Linked DNA regions of Arabidopsis thaliana. The protein of the gene in region 3 interacts with the protein of the main gene of each other region in a pairwise test. Each region holds a gene or a part of one and is shown on either strand. Other genes may lie near its edges.

Region 1 (4,208 bases), 4.0 Mb from region 3:
TACCTAAAACAATTTCCAAATAGGGGTAAAATGGTCATTAAAAAATTTAAAGAGGGTAGAAATGAAAATGACAAATAGGAAAGAGTATAATTAAAAAAGGATAATGTGAAAAGGTCATTTTCAGCAATTATTCAGAAAAGAATATAAGATAATGATTCTGTCGGAAAATTCAATGTTACACTTTTTTTTTACGGAAACAAGATTTTGTTACTTTTTACGGGATGACATAGTTTGCGACTTTTACTGGAAAACAGTTTAAGTAAAAAAATCACAAATTTAGGGATTTTGGCATAAAACACACAATTTTGCGGTTTTTTGTAGTAGAAACGGATTCAATATCCAAGATCCTGAAATATGTTATCAGTCAAATACAAATCATGTATATAAATATATGCTCCCGAAATGACAGATCATAGATCACCTTCCGAGTTTCGTAAAACAGTATTCACTTTGTTAATTAATTACCAAATATTTTCACCAAAGCGAACAAATAATAGACATCGTCAAAAATGAAAATGACCAACAACTTCATAAATCATAATAAATACAAAACCATTTACTATATATGTGTCCATTATGGTCTGCGCATGCTCTCACAGCTTGGCGATTGTGTCAAAGTAAAAGAAGGTGAGCTGAACCGTGTTATTCGTGGACATATAAAATTCCACATATGAGAAAGTGAACTTTGGGCCTACTATATATTTTCGTAATCAAAATTTTTATTAATTTCTGAATTCATTTATCCTCTATATATTAAATTATTAATAGAGAATCACACTTAAAAAACAAAATTTAGTTACAGTCGTATTTACAGAAATGCCAGCTGATGTGTCAGAGCAATTCTCAATCAATTTACTTCATTGTCCCTCATTTACTAGATCATTTATAAAATTTATCATTAGTAGTACATATAAATATCTCAATAACAGAAACAATAAAAAGTAAATCCAATTAAAAGTAGTAAATAATTAAAAAAAGAAATTCCAATTAAAATAATCTAATAATTAAGCAAGTAATATTTCAGAACTTAATATAGAACTACTTTCGTTTTTATATAGAAACATAAATCATATGTTAACAAAAATATTAATATAGTACTACTTTCATTTTTCTAATCAGATATTACCAATACATTTATAAATAAAGTTTTTTCCAAAAATAATATCAATTACACTTAAGTAAATTATAAATATTCAGAAGATTCTAAAAATATAATTTTAATTTAATTTAATAAGAAAATTATAAAAATAATAACTAATATATTTATACATATTTAATAACAATCAATATACGGGCAATAATAATTTTAATGCAAAAACTAGATGGTTCAAAAAAAAAATATTACATTAAATAATACACAGGCAAATTTCAGATTTCAAATAATAAAAAATTTACTATAATATATTTATCCCACACATAGTGCGGATAAACTATCTAATTTTTCTTGAAGTAGGTAACTAAGTTTTAATTGAAAAACAAACAATTAAAAAACTATATATATATATATACATATGTATATATAATAATAGAATATTCAATACTTTTTAAGAGAAATTTTACCATCCACTGCTCAAAAGAAACACCAATGATCTTGATATTTGTAGAAAAATCTATGGACGTAACACCAACAATACAAAACCATGGTAAGAACTAAGAAGAAATGAAGAATATCGCTTTCACGTAAACCAACAATATCATATATTTCAATAAAGACAACTATTATTATAGTTTTCAGAAAGAAAAAAAAGTATAGAAATTACATGGAAGGTGGTAGGTGAAGGATTTTACCGAATTACATACGTCAAGACTAATTTTGTCAAAAACAAAACAAAATTTATTCTTGTGTGTTAGTGTGTATATAAGACCATCTCTCTTCTCCTTTATCTCTCAGCTTGAGCTTCTCTCTCAACGAAAGAACTCAAGCTTTCCAACACTATAAATCTATAATACAGCTTTTATTCTCAAATTTTGTTTGTCTTACCATCATTACCAAACCATGCAAGCCGCAACGTCGTGTGATCTCAAGTTCCGATCAACAGATCCGACGTCTAGGAACAAATGTTTCTCCCACGCGATTCCAAAGCGCGTGGCTGTTACGTGCGGTTATAGGTCGGAGTCGTTTAGCTTCCCTAACGGTGTCTCCGTGAGTCGATCTGATTGGCAAAGCTCATGTGCCATTTTATCTAGTAAAGTTGCTTCTGTTGAAAATACCGGTGGTTTAGCGGACAAAATCGCCGCCGTTAATGGTCACACGAACGGCTCTGTGAATCTTGGTCTCGTCGCCGTTGAGTCAACTAACGGAAAGTTAGCTCCTGCTCAGCCGTTGACTATTACTGATCTATCTCCGGCACCGTTGCATGGTTCTAGTCTACGTGTAGCTTACCAAGGCGTTCCCGGAGCTTACTCGGAAGCAGCTGCCGGAAAAGCTTATCCCAATTGCGACGCCATTCCTTGTGACCAGTTTGACGTTGCTTTTCAGGCGGTGGAGCTTTGGATCGCTGATCGAGCTGTGCTTCCGGTGGAGAACTCACTCGGTGGTTCGATCCATCGAAACTATGATCTTCTTCTCCGTCACCGTCTTCACATCGTTGGAGAAGTTCAGATTCCGGTCCACCATTGCCTCCTCGCACTCCCGGGAGTCCGAACTGACTGTGTTTCGCGGGTGATCTCTCACCCGCAAGCCCTAGCGCAGACGGAACACTCCCTCGACGTCCTTACACCACATGCAGCGCGTGAGGCTTTCCATGACACAGCGGCTGCTGCGGAGTATATCTCAGCTAACGACCTACATGACACGGCGGCTGTGGCGAGCGCACGCGCCGCTGAGCTTTACAACCTCCAGATATTAGCGGATGGGATTCAAGACGACCCGGGGAACGTCACTCGTTTCCTAATGTTGGCGCGTGAGCCTATAATCCCACGCACGGACCGGCCATTCAAGACTAGCATCGTCTTTGCTGCCCAAGAGCACAAAGGAACTAGCGTCCTCTTTAAAGTCCTCTCGGCTTTCGCTTTCAGAGACATTAGCCTGACCAAGATCGAGTCCCGGCCTCACCATAACCGCCCGCTTAGGGTTGTTGGTGACGGGAGCTTTGGGACGTCGAAGAACTTCGAGTACATGTTTTACGTGGATTTTGAGGCATCGATGGCTGAGCCGCGTGCACAGAACGCGCTTGCGGAGGTTCAAGAGTACACGTCGTTCCTAAGGGTGCTGGGAAGTTACCCCATGGATATGACACCATGGTCCATGACATCCACAGAAGAAGCATGACCCCATCGCCAAAAACAAACTCACCAATAAATTTATTAAATTATTCTGTTCTTTCTTTTTTTGTGAAAATTGTAGTATACATTGAAATTAAACCGTAAATGTAGAGCTCATTATTCACGTGGTGATTAGGAGAAAACAAAATTTTATTTGTCTGTTACTAGCTACCAGATATATCTTACATTCTTACTTAATAGTTATGAACATTGTGGTTTATTCGCAGAATCTTTTTGAGTTCCTTGGTTTTCTTTGGTAAATTCACTCGATTTTAACCAAGAAAAGCAAAAATGATTGGCATTACCAAAAACAAAGACATATATTTACACATATTTTTTAGAAAAATGTGATCAGTTTTGTAACTTTGTTTATCTTAACAACGTTATTAGTATTTTTACTACAAATTTCTATTAAATCATATTTTTAGTAGAGATGATCCTAATATTTTCTTCAATATCAAAAGCTTAAGACCAAATTCTTTTATGTAATTATCAGCATAATGTTGTTACTAAAACTTTCTGTTAGGACTTCATCTCAAGTTCACTAAGCTCAACCACAACATATGTATACCATTAAACAATCGCTTACATGATAAAAAAAAGTAAACCAATGAAAATGAATGTGAATAAAAATCAACTTATCATATTTAATATACAATACAAAGATTTTGTTCGAAGTTTATATAATATTCACAAAACAAGTCTCCATTATTGTAGTTGGTGATATAATTTCCAACATCATTAAAATATTTTGTGAAGATTTCCTTGAAGTTTTCACGAGTAGATACAAAAAAAAAAAGTTATGGTCACCGGTCACGTGTGAACTCAACTCAAGGGTTCAACGTTTGGTTTCTAGGTGAGTCGCAAGAAATTAGCAATATAATTTCCAAGAAACTTACATGTTGAATCTAGTAATAATTCACATGTAAATCGGAAGCTATAAA
Region 2 (4,309 bases), on a different chromosome or scaffold from region 3:
TGATTAAATTAATTTATTTGATAAATAAGAAATCTTTCTATAAGCTAAATATTTAGAAATCCGAAAATATTATTTTTGGATGGTGTATTTAATATTAAAATATGTTTGGTTTAAAAAATAATAAGGATAAGGATAAGGATAGTGGAATTAATAGTGTTTGACAATGAGTATATTATATTCAATAAATGAAAAATAAAAATGATGAGAACAATTATGGGCTTGCCACATCTTTTACTATATAGAGGATTCCAAAAAGTTGGAAGAAAAACAATTCCTAAATTGAAAAGATTTTTTTCTTTTTCTTGCTATGAATGTAAATAAAATCTCAAAAAAAAAATTAGGAGATGATATATATCAAGATGAATAAAGACGAAAGAGACTTAAAATTTGTTACTGCTTCCCTTCTGTCATCTTTGTATTATTTCCTATCATATTGTTAGGAAAGATTTATTTCTTTACATATGAGAAATATGACAGCATCAAATTCAATGTGCATCAAACGTTTTGACTATTTTTGATTTTCTTCCAAAATTAAAACGACAAATTTGATTTTGAAAGCAACTTTTAAAAATACGTTTCGCCAAACTAATTACAGTATAAATTGGATCTCATAGCCAATAACTTTATCTCATCAAACAAAACTCAAGTCATCTATTTCTCTTGTTGCATAGTCCCCCAAATATTCATCATGTCGATCAAGAGTGTTGTTTCTCTCCTAGTAGTTGTATGCATCGCAGCCTCCGTTAATGCTCAGCTACCGCAGTTTCCCCCAATCATGTTCCCGTTTCCAAATCCGTTCAAACCAAGTCCCGGTATGGCAGGAAGTCCCGACTTGAGCAAATGTTGGTCAACAGTGATGGATTTGCCGGGATGCTTTGAAGAGATTCAACAAGCCGTAATGTCCGGCAAATTTGAAGGCGTTGGTCCTGCTTGTTGTAAAGCTTTCCTTGACGCTGAAGCTAACTGCTTACCAAATCTTCCATCCAACCCGTTTTTCCCTCCTATGATGAAACACCAATGCTCCAAAATGGCTAGTCCTCCAACCACCACCGCCTATTAGAATGCAAAAATGTAGTTGTGTTTTTTCGAATTTTTTGTTAGTCCCAGAATGTTCTAGAAGAAGAAATGATAATAATAATGTCTTAATCTAATAATAATGTCTCATTTCTTATATTGTGCTCCATATGATTGATGTTCTTTCTTCTTTTGATTGATGAATGAATCTCAAAGACATGTTGCGTGATATCTCTTATGCGGTTATGACAATGCTTTCTATATAACTCGACATGTAGACCGATCACACACAATTTAGAATACATCACATACATTACATACTATCAAACAAAAATGTTCCAAAATAATGAAAAGAAGATCACGCCCAAGCTCTTTTCCTAGGGGAAAGATCAGAAGTCTTGATATCATCTATTTTAGCCGCCATTATGAAATCATTCATGCTCAACCCTCCTGCATTATTCATCCAACAAACCGTCTTAAGAAACCATATATTAAAACTCAAACTCGAACATCAAATATTTGACATACCGATAGAAGAGGTAAATAGTTCAGCTCGAACTTGGGTAGGACTTTCCAAGTGAAGAGAAGGGTAATGACCAGAAGCTTCAGCAACCTTATGGATCCTGTTTATGAGTTCAACACCGCACCCAAAATCCCTCACTTTCCACATACACCTTATTTTCAGACCACCCGCTTCATTATCCACTATACTCCATCCCAAAACCTAAAACGTTTACATAATAATCATTGAGATTGATGTACCACATCATTAGAGTGGTAACCGTGAACCAAAACACCAACATGAGCCTTATCAACACTAATCATTTCATTTTTTTTTAATCTCGTAACCATTGTTCCTAATATGTCCCTCATGATACTAAAATTTTCATTGGCTTTTCTATATTTTTGGGTCACAATTCTATCTTTATAGATTAGAAATCTGTTAAACGCAGAATCAATAACATTTTCACAATATTTTGATCAACCAACAAACTTGTAAAATCAAAACTCGAACATTTTTATACTAAGAGAGAAATAGTATAAGTACCTTGTGGAGGAGAGTTCTGGCATCATCGCCGGACAAAGGAGGCTGTGAAGACGAAACAGGGGAACACTGAAGCTGGGAGAGAGACAAAACAGATGCGTTTGGTATCAAAATCTTGTGCTCAGTGCTTTGGCATCCCAACACTTTATCTCCGAATTGACTCGCTATCTCCTCCGGGTAAGGGTCACGAGCTCCGAAGTCACCAAGAAAATCCTGCGCCAGATTAGACCGGGTCACCGTTAACCGGCCGAGTTTACGGTTATTCCTACTTACAGGTGGTAATAAACCGAACACTTTAAGGATTGAGCGAGAAGGTTGACGGAGGAGGAGGGAGGACGCGGAGATGTTACACGGCGGTGATGATGACGTGGCGGCCATCGGGAGCTGTGATTTGCTCTGTACCGAAGATAAGAGTTTTGGTTTTTAGAGAGCGAAACGATTTTCAGACCACTGGACTGAGTTAAATGGGTGAGGTGCCACGTAATCACTAATGACTAATGGGAACCACAATAAACTTTCGTGGGACCGACTTTACACGTCACGTTTTAATCTGAGAAGCCCATTGGGTTTGATTGTACTTTTGTGTCCACTTTTGGTGAATCTACTTAAGATTTCATAATTCCGAAAGTATCCTTTTTGGGTATCTTTAATTACAAACAAACCTTCCCTTCTTTCCCGATTTCAAGCCCTAAAATTCCGAGACTTCTGTTTCTCGCTTTAACGACAGTCGCCGAGTGAGAGATATAGAGAGAGAAAGATGCCGGTGCACGATGAGCAAGAGCATGAGGTGTACGGTGGAGAGATCCCAGAAGAGGAAGAAGGTGAGATGGATACGGAAGAGTACGAAGAACACGGCGGAGAAGAAGGTGCCGCCGCCGGAGATGAGGAGCTTGAACCTGGCTCTAGCTCTAGGGTATTGTGATTCTTCGATCTATAATTTACTTTTATCCAATTGAGACTCTTCTTATTTTTTACTGTATTTAGTCTGTTATTTGCTTTGATTGTTTGATAGGACTTGGAGGATATGAAGAAACGAATTAAGGAGATTGAGGAAGAAGCTGGAGCTTTGCGTGAAATGCAAGCCAAGGCTGAGAAAGATATGGGTGCTAGTCAAGGTTTGTACTTATTAACTGATACGTAAAATCTTGAATCTTTGTGCGCAGCTTCACATTAACCTTTAAATTGATAGATTAGGTTTAAAGCTTGTCTTGTTGATTATGATATTGCTTTGGGTTTACATATTGGAATCTTTTAGTGAATCAATGAATCTGTCTAGAAATTTACTGGAGTTTGAGTATGAGAAGGAAATCATTAATAGTATTGTGGAGTCTTGTCAGTTAGCTAATTGGGTCAATACCTTTTATGTTGTTGCATATCAATGAAGACCCTTCAGGTGGTGTTAGTGCGGCTGAGAAGGAAGAAGTGGATTCGCGTTCAATATATGTTGGCAATGTGAGGCTTGTTCCACCATTAATTTTCACATGTTTCTCATATATGTTTGTATCTTTTTTAAAGAAAGTTTGTGTGTTTTATTGCTTTGGTATCAATGAAATTTGGAGGCTGCTTGTTGTTTATTTCTTTATCTCTAGTAATTGCTAAACTAACTTTCCTTCATATTTCAGAAAGCCTTCATATCTCCCATCTGTGAAGCTGATTCTTTAGATATCCTGTGTCTTTGTTTTTTTGTGTATATTAGGTGGACTATGCATGTACTCCAGAGGAAGTCCAGCAGCATTTTCAATCATGTGGGACAGTGAATAGGGTTACAATTCTGACAGATAAGTTTGGTCAACCTAAAGGTTTTGCGTATGTCGAATTTGTGGAAGTAGAAGCTGTTCAGAATTCGCTTATTTTGAACGAGTCAGAACTACATGGTCGTCAGATAAAGGTGCAAACTCGTTCAATACGATGTAGTTAATTATTTTCCATATTACGATTTGTCATTACTAAACTTTGTTTAATCTATTTTCAGGTATCTGCAAAGAGGACTAATGTACCTGGAATGAGGCAATTTCGAGGAAGAGGGCGTCCCTTTAGACCGATGAGGGGATTCATGCCAGGAGTTCCATTTTATCCTCCATATGCTTATGGGTGTGTTCTAGAACCTTACCTGCCTATCCTCTCTTTTAAAGTCCATTTGTTTGATTCATCATGGTTGTTCATAAAATTGACAATGGTTGATGGTTTGTGCAGGAGAGTTCCCAGGTTCAGACGGCCTATGCGCTACAGACCGTACTGATTAGGCAAATT
Region 3 (4,057 bases):
CAATGTGAAATCCCATGTAATAGGACCTAGAGGTTTCAACCAATGTACACCCAAAACTGCATCAATTCCTTTCAAAGGAATTACCATAAAGTCAGCTACAAAAGTCGTGTTATGAATCTCCCACTTAAAATTCTGTATTCTCGCTATCACCTTCAGATTGTAACCATCAGCCACCCGTACTCTTGCATTATCACTAGGTAGGAGTGAGCAACCCAACTTCTTTGCCATTTGAGGATCCATAAAATTGTGAGTGGAACCCGAATCAACCAACATAAAAATGGATCTCTTCTGACTTGTACCCTTAACTCGCATAGTGTTGTAAGTTGAGATACCCTCCATAGCATGAGTTGAGATATGAGCTACTTCCCCAACTAACTCCTTATGCTCTTCTTCTGCATCCAAGAACACTTCCTCAGCATCTTCCATTTCCAAAACAAACAATTGTGTTTTCTTGTGAATCTTATAATGTTCAGATGTGTATTGTTCATCACAAAAATAACACAATCCTTTAGCTCTCCTAGCACTCATCTCTTCAGTAGATAAGAACCGCCTTGGCTGATTTTGTTGTGTGTCTCTTGGTTTTTCCTGAAACGCTGGTTTATTGCCCTGCTGCTCCATGTCTTTCTTAAAGGAGAACTGGCCCTTTGAAGTAGCCTTATTGTTCTTCCAAGAAGTCGCATTGTTCTGCACAGGATGAGCAGTTTCATAGAGACGTCCCAACATCAAACACTGCCGCACCGTTTGGGGTTGAAACATTCGGATATGCATCTGTGTCTCAATCCTTAACCCAACCAAATACGCACTCACTAAATAATCCTCCGTCATCCTTACTCGAGTCCGGATCGCCTCAAACTTTGCGTGATAGTCATCAATGCTAGCAGCTGTTTCCTGCAACTTCTTCAGCTCAGCAATAGGATCCTCTCCAACCATCTCAAACCTCTCCCTGATCCTAGCTTTGTACACACCCCACTCAGGAACCTGCACTTCATCCTCAATCATATTCTGGTGCCAAGTAGCAGCCAGACCATCCAAATGAATAGAAACTACAGACACTCGCATCTCTTCAGGTATAGGATCCACCGCAAAAAATTGATCAACCTTAAACAACCATTCCTTAACCTTCTCACCACTGAATCTGGGAAAATCCAACTTCCCTAACCTTGTTACTCCCGAATGATTGTTAGCGTGACCTTGCCTTCTCATGTAATCCACGTCTGTTGCTGAAGCGGATGAAGCACGAGCTGTTTGATGAGTCTCACCCAGATTTGACTGCTTAGATGGAGACAGCATGTGGATCGCCTCAAACATCTCCGAGATATGGCGCTCGATCTTCAGATTTTGAGCATCGATCTTGCTCTCGATCTTCTCCATCTGTGACTCCATCGATTCCTCTGCTTCTAACGCCTTCTCTCGACGAGCTTGAGCTAACTCCTGAGCTCGAGTCTCGATCACCATCTCCGAGAAACGTCTTTGCTCTGATACCTTTAATACAGTAAAACCACACCACAACACAATCAATCAACCAAAGCAATCATCAACAACTCCGATTACTTATTATTACGATGTAAATAACAAATGAAATCCAATGTTCATAAAACAAGGGATTTCTGGATTCACCTCGCAAGAATCGACGTTCTATGCAGAGGATGAATCTCGGAATGTTTTCAGAGAGAAAGGAATAACAACAACTTCAACGATAACATGAAAATACGATGACACTTGATATTTATTAGCTTCAGCTCTACGCACACTTAATTTGAATCACAGCCGTCCATTGATCTTCTAATCACAGCCGTCCACGTGGCCTTACTCAATATCCTGTATCACACACATTATTCTCCTGCTTGTTCTGATTTTTTTTTTCTTTTTTCTTTTCTAGATAAGATTTCAATTCACAAATTTCTTTTTCCTCACGTAAAAAAAAGAAGAAAAAGGTCGGTCTACTTGTGGCTCACTCAGTGGTTCGAACCTGGGTTTAGATTTTGACTTGACCATAACGAAAACTAACTCTAATGATTAAAAAGGCTTCTTTTATTGTGCTCCGATTCCAAAATTTCACGGAAAATAGAAGCGTCGAGTTCCTCCTCTCCCTCAGGTTGTCAATGGCCGCTAGGTTACTTGCTTTGAGACGCGCTTTGTCTCTTTTCAGCAACCAACAACATCGTTTTCCTTTGTCTCAAGGTTTCATCTCTCTCCTTCTCAACTTTGTCATCTTTAAGAAAAATTAAAGAGTTATTGAAAATCGGGCACTAGAGTTAAACTGGTCTCTTAATCTGTGTAATTTATACTTGCCTTGATGTTTCTTTTGATGAATTTGGTTGAGATTCATGTAAATTTGTGGTTTTTATGTTTGAATTTACACTAGAAGAGGATTTTGGGGAGATTTTGGTTTTAGGGTTGTTTTTGTAGCTTTTAGAGATTTGGGGCATTAGTGATGATGAGTACTCGTATTCTCATGTGTATATCATCTAATATCGTCTTTGCTCTGTTACATTTTGGAGTTAGAGAAGTGCTTCTACGAAACCTGAAGTTATGAATGCTCACATAAGTGCTTTGTCTTCAACATATCTCTATGCATTAAGCAGTAGCTGTGAACATTGGCATTTCAGCTAGACGCTGGTTAAGTTTTCAAGTTTGGTTATATATTTCCTGACTAAGATGTGTTAGCATTAGTCTACGGTTTGATGCAAACATTATCCTAGGAGGTTCCTATGATGTCCTGTTATGGTACAGACTGTTTTAGCTTCGTGCAACTACAACTACTGTTAAATTGATCTTTCTTGATTATCTTTTTTTTTTTGAAAATAGTCTCAACAGAGCAGTTGTCGCTATCAAACTCACTCTTCAGCAGAAGTCATGTTTATGGAAGATTATTTCAGAGACAGTTATCTGTAATCCGTGAGGCAAATGAAGCTTCTGTAACCAATGTCTGCAACTCGTCAAACTCTGCTACTGAATCGGCCAAAGTTCCCTCCCCTGCGACGCCCTCTGAGGAAATGATGGTGAAGTACAAGTCCCAGTTAAAAATAAACCCGAGGCATGACTTCATGATGGTCTTCACTTGCAAGGTCTGTGATACAAGATCTATGAAGATGGCGAGCCGAGAATCATATGAAAACGGCGTTGTGGTGGTACGATGTGGAGGGTGTGATAATCTACATTTGATTGCAGACCGTCGTGGTTGGTTTGGAGAACCAGGAAGCGTGGAGGACTTCCTTGCTTCTCAAGGGGAAGAATTCAAGAAAGGATCCATGGATTCTCTTAACCTAACTCCTGAAGATTTAGCTGGAGGAAAGATTTCTACTGAATAAGGAGTGATCTTCTTTGCTTTTGCTACTTAACCATTATGGAACAGAACTTCACCTTATGTTCCAGTATTATAATTGTTTCTTGTAGTTCACTGTTTGGTAACATTTAAATGCAGAAGATGTTTAATACAATTATGTGTTTGGAATGTTCCATATAGGTTGAGATGTTCCATTGATTTAAGACAGAAACAAAATCTCAAGAGAAACAAAATAAGAATCTCAAGATTGATCAGTTTTAGGTGTTCAACTTCTCAATGATCTTTGCAAGGGCTGAATATGTGCCAATGACTGAACATACTGCTCCTACTGTCATAATTAAGATACAGATTGTCACCTGCAAACAAACCACAGATTGTTATATCGATTTCAGTTTGAGGAATTTCGATATTCGGTTTGGTTATCAGTAAGTGAGCAGGCCATACCTGAGTAGGGGTTACTTTTTTCCTTAAGATGCTCAAGAAACAAGCTGGCGGTAGTATCAGCGTCTGTGTCCAGAAACTTTGTCAGGCTAAGCAAATTCACTATGAAACTGCAATATGAGAATTTGCTTTACATAACCAGAAAAGGATGAAACAAATGTGTAACTTACAATGAGCATTGTCAAGAATGATCCAATCAGTGACATGACAAGGCCTGCAAGAATTCTGAGTGTCAAAAGAAGTGACACTTATTTTCTTTACATGTATATTTTTCGTTTGTCCTTACCGAAGAAGGGAATCGCAAGACCAACGAGCAGAGTAGAGATGGCT

What was found. Proteins that work in one complex are often made in the same cells at the same time.
Region 1: the proteins of ZR3 (region 3) and ADT4 interact in a two-hybrid assay, tested with the Arabidopsis thaliana proteins (one large-scale study listed by BioGRID).
Region 2: the proteins of ZR3 (region 3) and AT5G51110 interact in a two-hybrid assay, tested with the Arabidopsis thaliana proteins (one large-scale study listed by BioGRID).

What each region holds. Positions count from the first base shown.
Region 1 is NC_003074.8:16,269,763-16,273,970, forward strand, and holds ADT4 (arogenate dehydratase 4), read left to right. Parts: upstream 1-1,748; 5' UTR 1,749-1,996; coding exon 1,997-3,271; 3' UTR 3,272-3,651; downstream 3,652-4,208. UniProt on the Arabidopsis thaliana protein: Converts the prephenate produced from the shikimate-chorismate pathway into phenylalanine.
Region 2 is NC_003076.8:20,776,944-20,781,252, forward strand, and holds AT5G51110 (Transcriptional coactivator/pterin dehydratase), read right to left. Parts: upstream 2,546-4,309; 5' UTR 2,438-2,545; coding exon 2,063-2,437; intron 1,739-2,062; coding exon 1,543-1,738; intron 1,465-1,542; coding exon 1,373-1,464; 3' UTR 1,061-1,372; coding exon of another isoform or gene 689-1,060; 3' UTR 558-688; downstream 1-557. Other genes in the region: AT5G51105 (ECA1 gametogenesis family protein (DUF1278)), read left to right, coding at 689-1,060; PABN1 (polyadenylate-binding protein 1), read left to right, coding at 2,817-2,972, 3,072-3,174, 3,254-3,376, 3,453-3,511, 3,756-3,947, 4,032-4,150, 4,253-4,298. UniProt on the Arabidopsis thaliana protein: Involved in tetrahydrobiopterin biosynthesis. Interacts with and acts downstream of the E3 ubiquitin-protein ligase SDIR1 in abscisic acid (ABA) and salt stress signaling.
Region 3 is NC_003074.8:20,308,342-20,312,398, forward strand, and holds ZR3 (Zim17-type zinc finger protein), read left to right. Parts: upstream 1-1,927; 5' UTR 1,928-2,012; coding exon 2,013-2,181; intron 2,182-2,808; coding exon 2,809-3,311; 3' UTR 3,312-3,513; downstream 3,514-4,057. Other genes in the region: AT3G54830 (Transmembrane amino acid transporter family protein), read right to left, coding at 3,560-3,642, 3,731-3,806, 3,898-3,941, 4,014-4,057.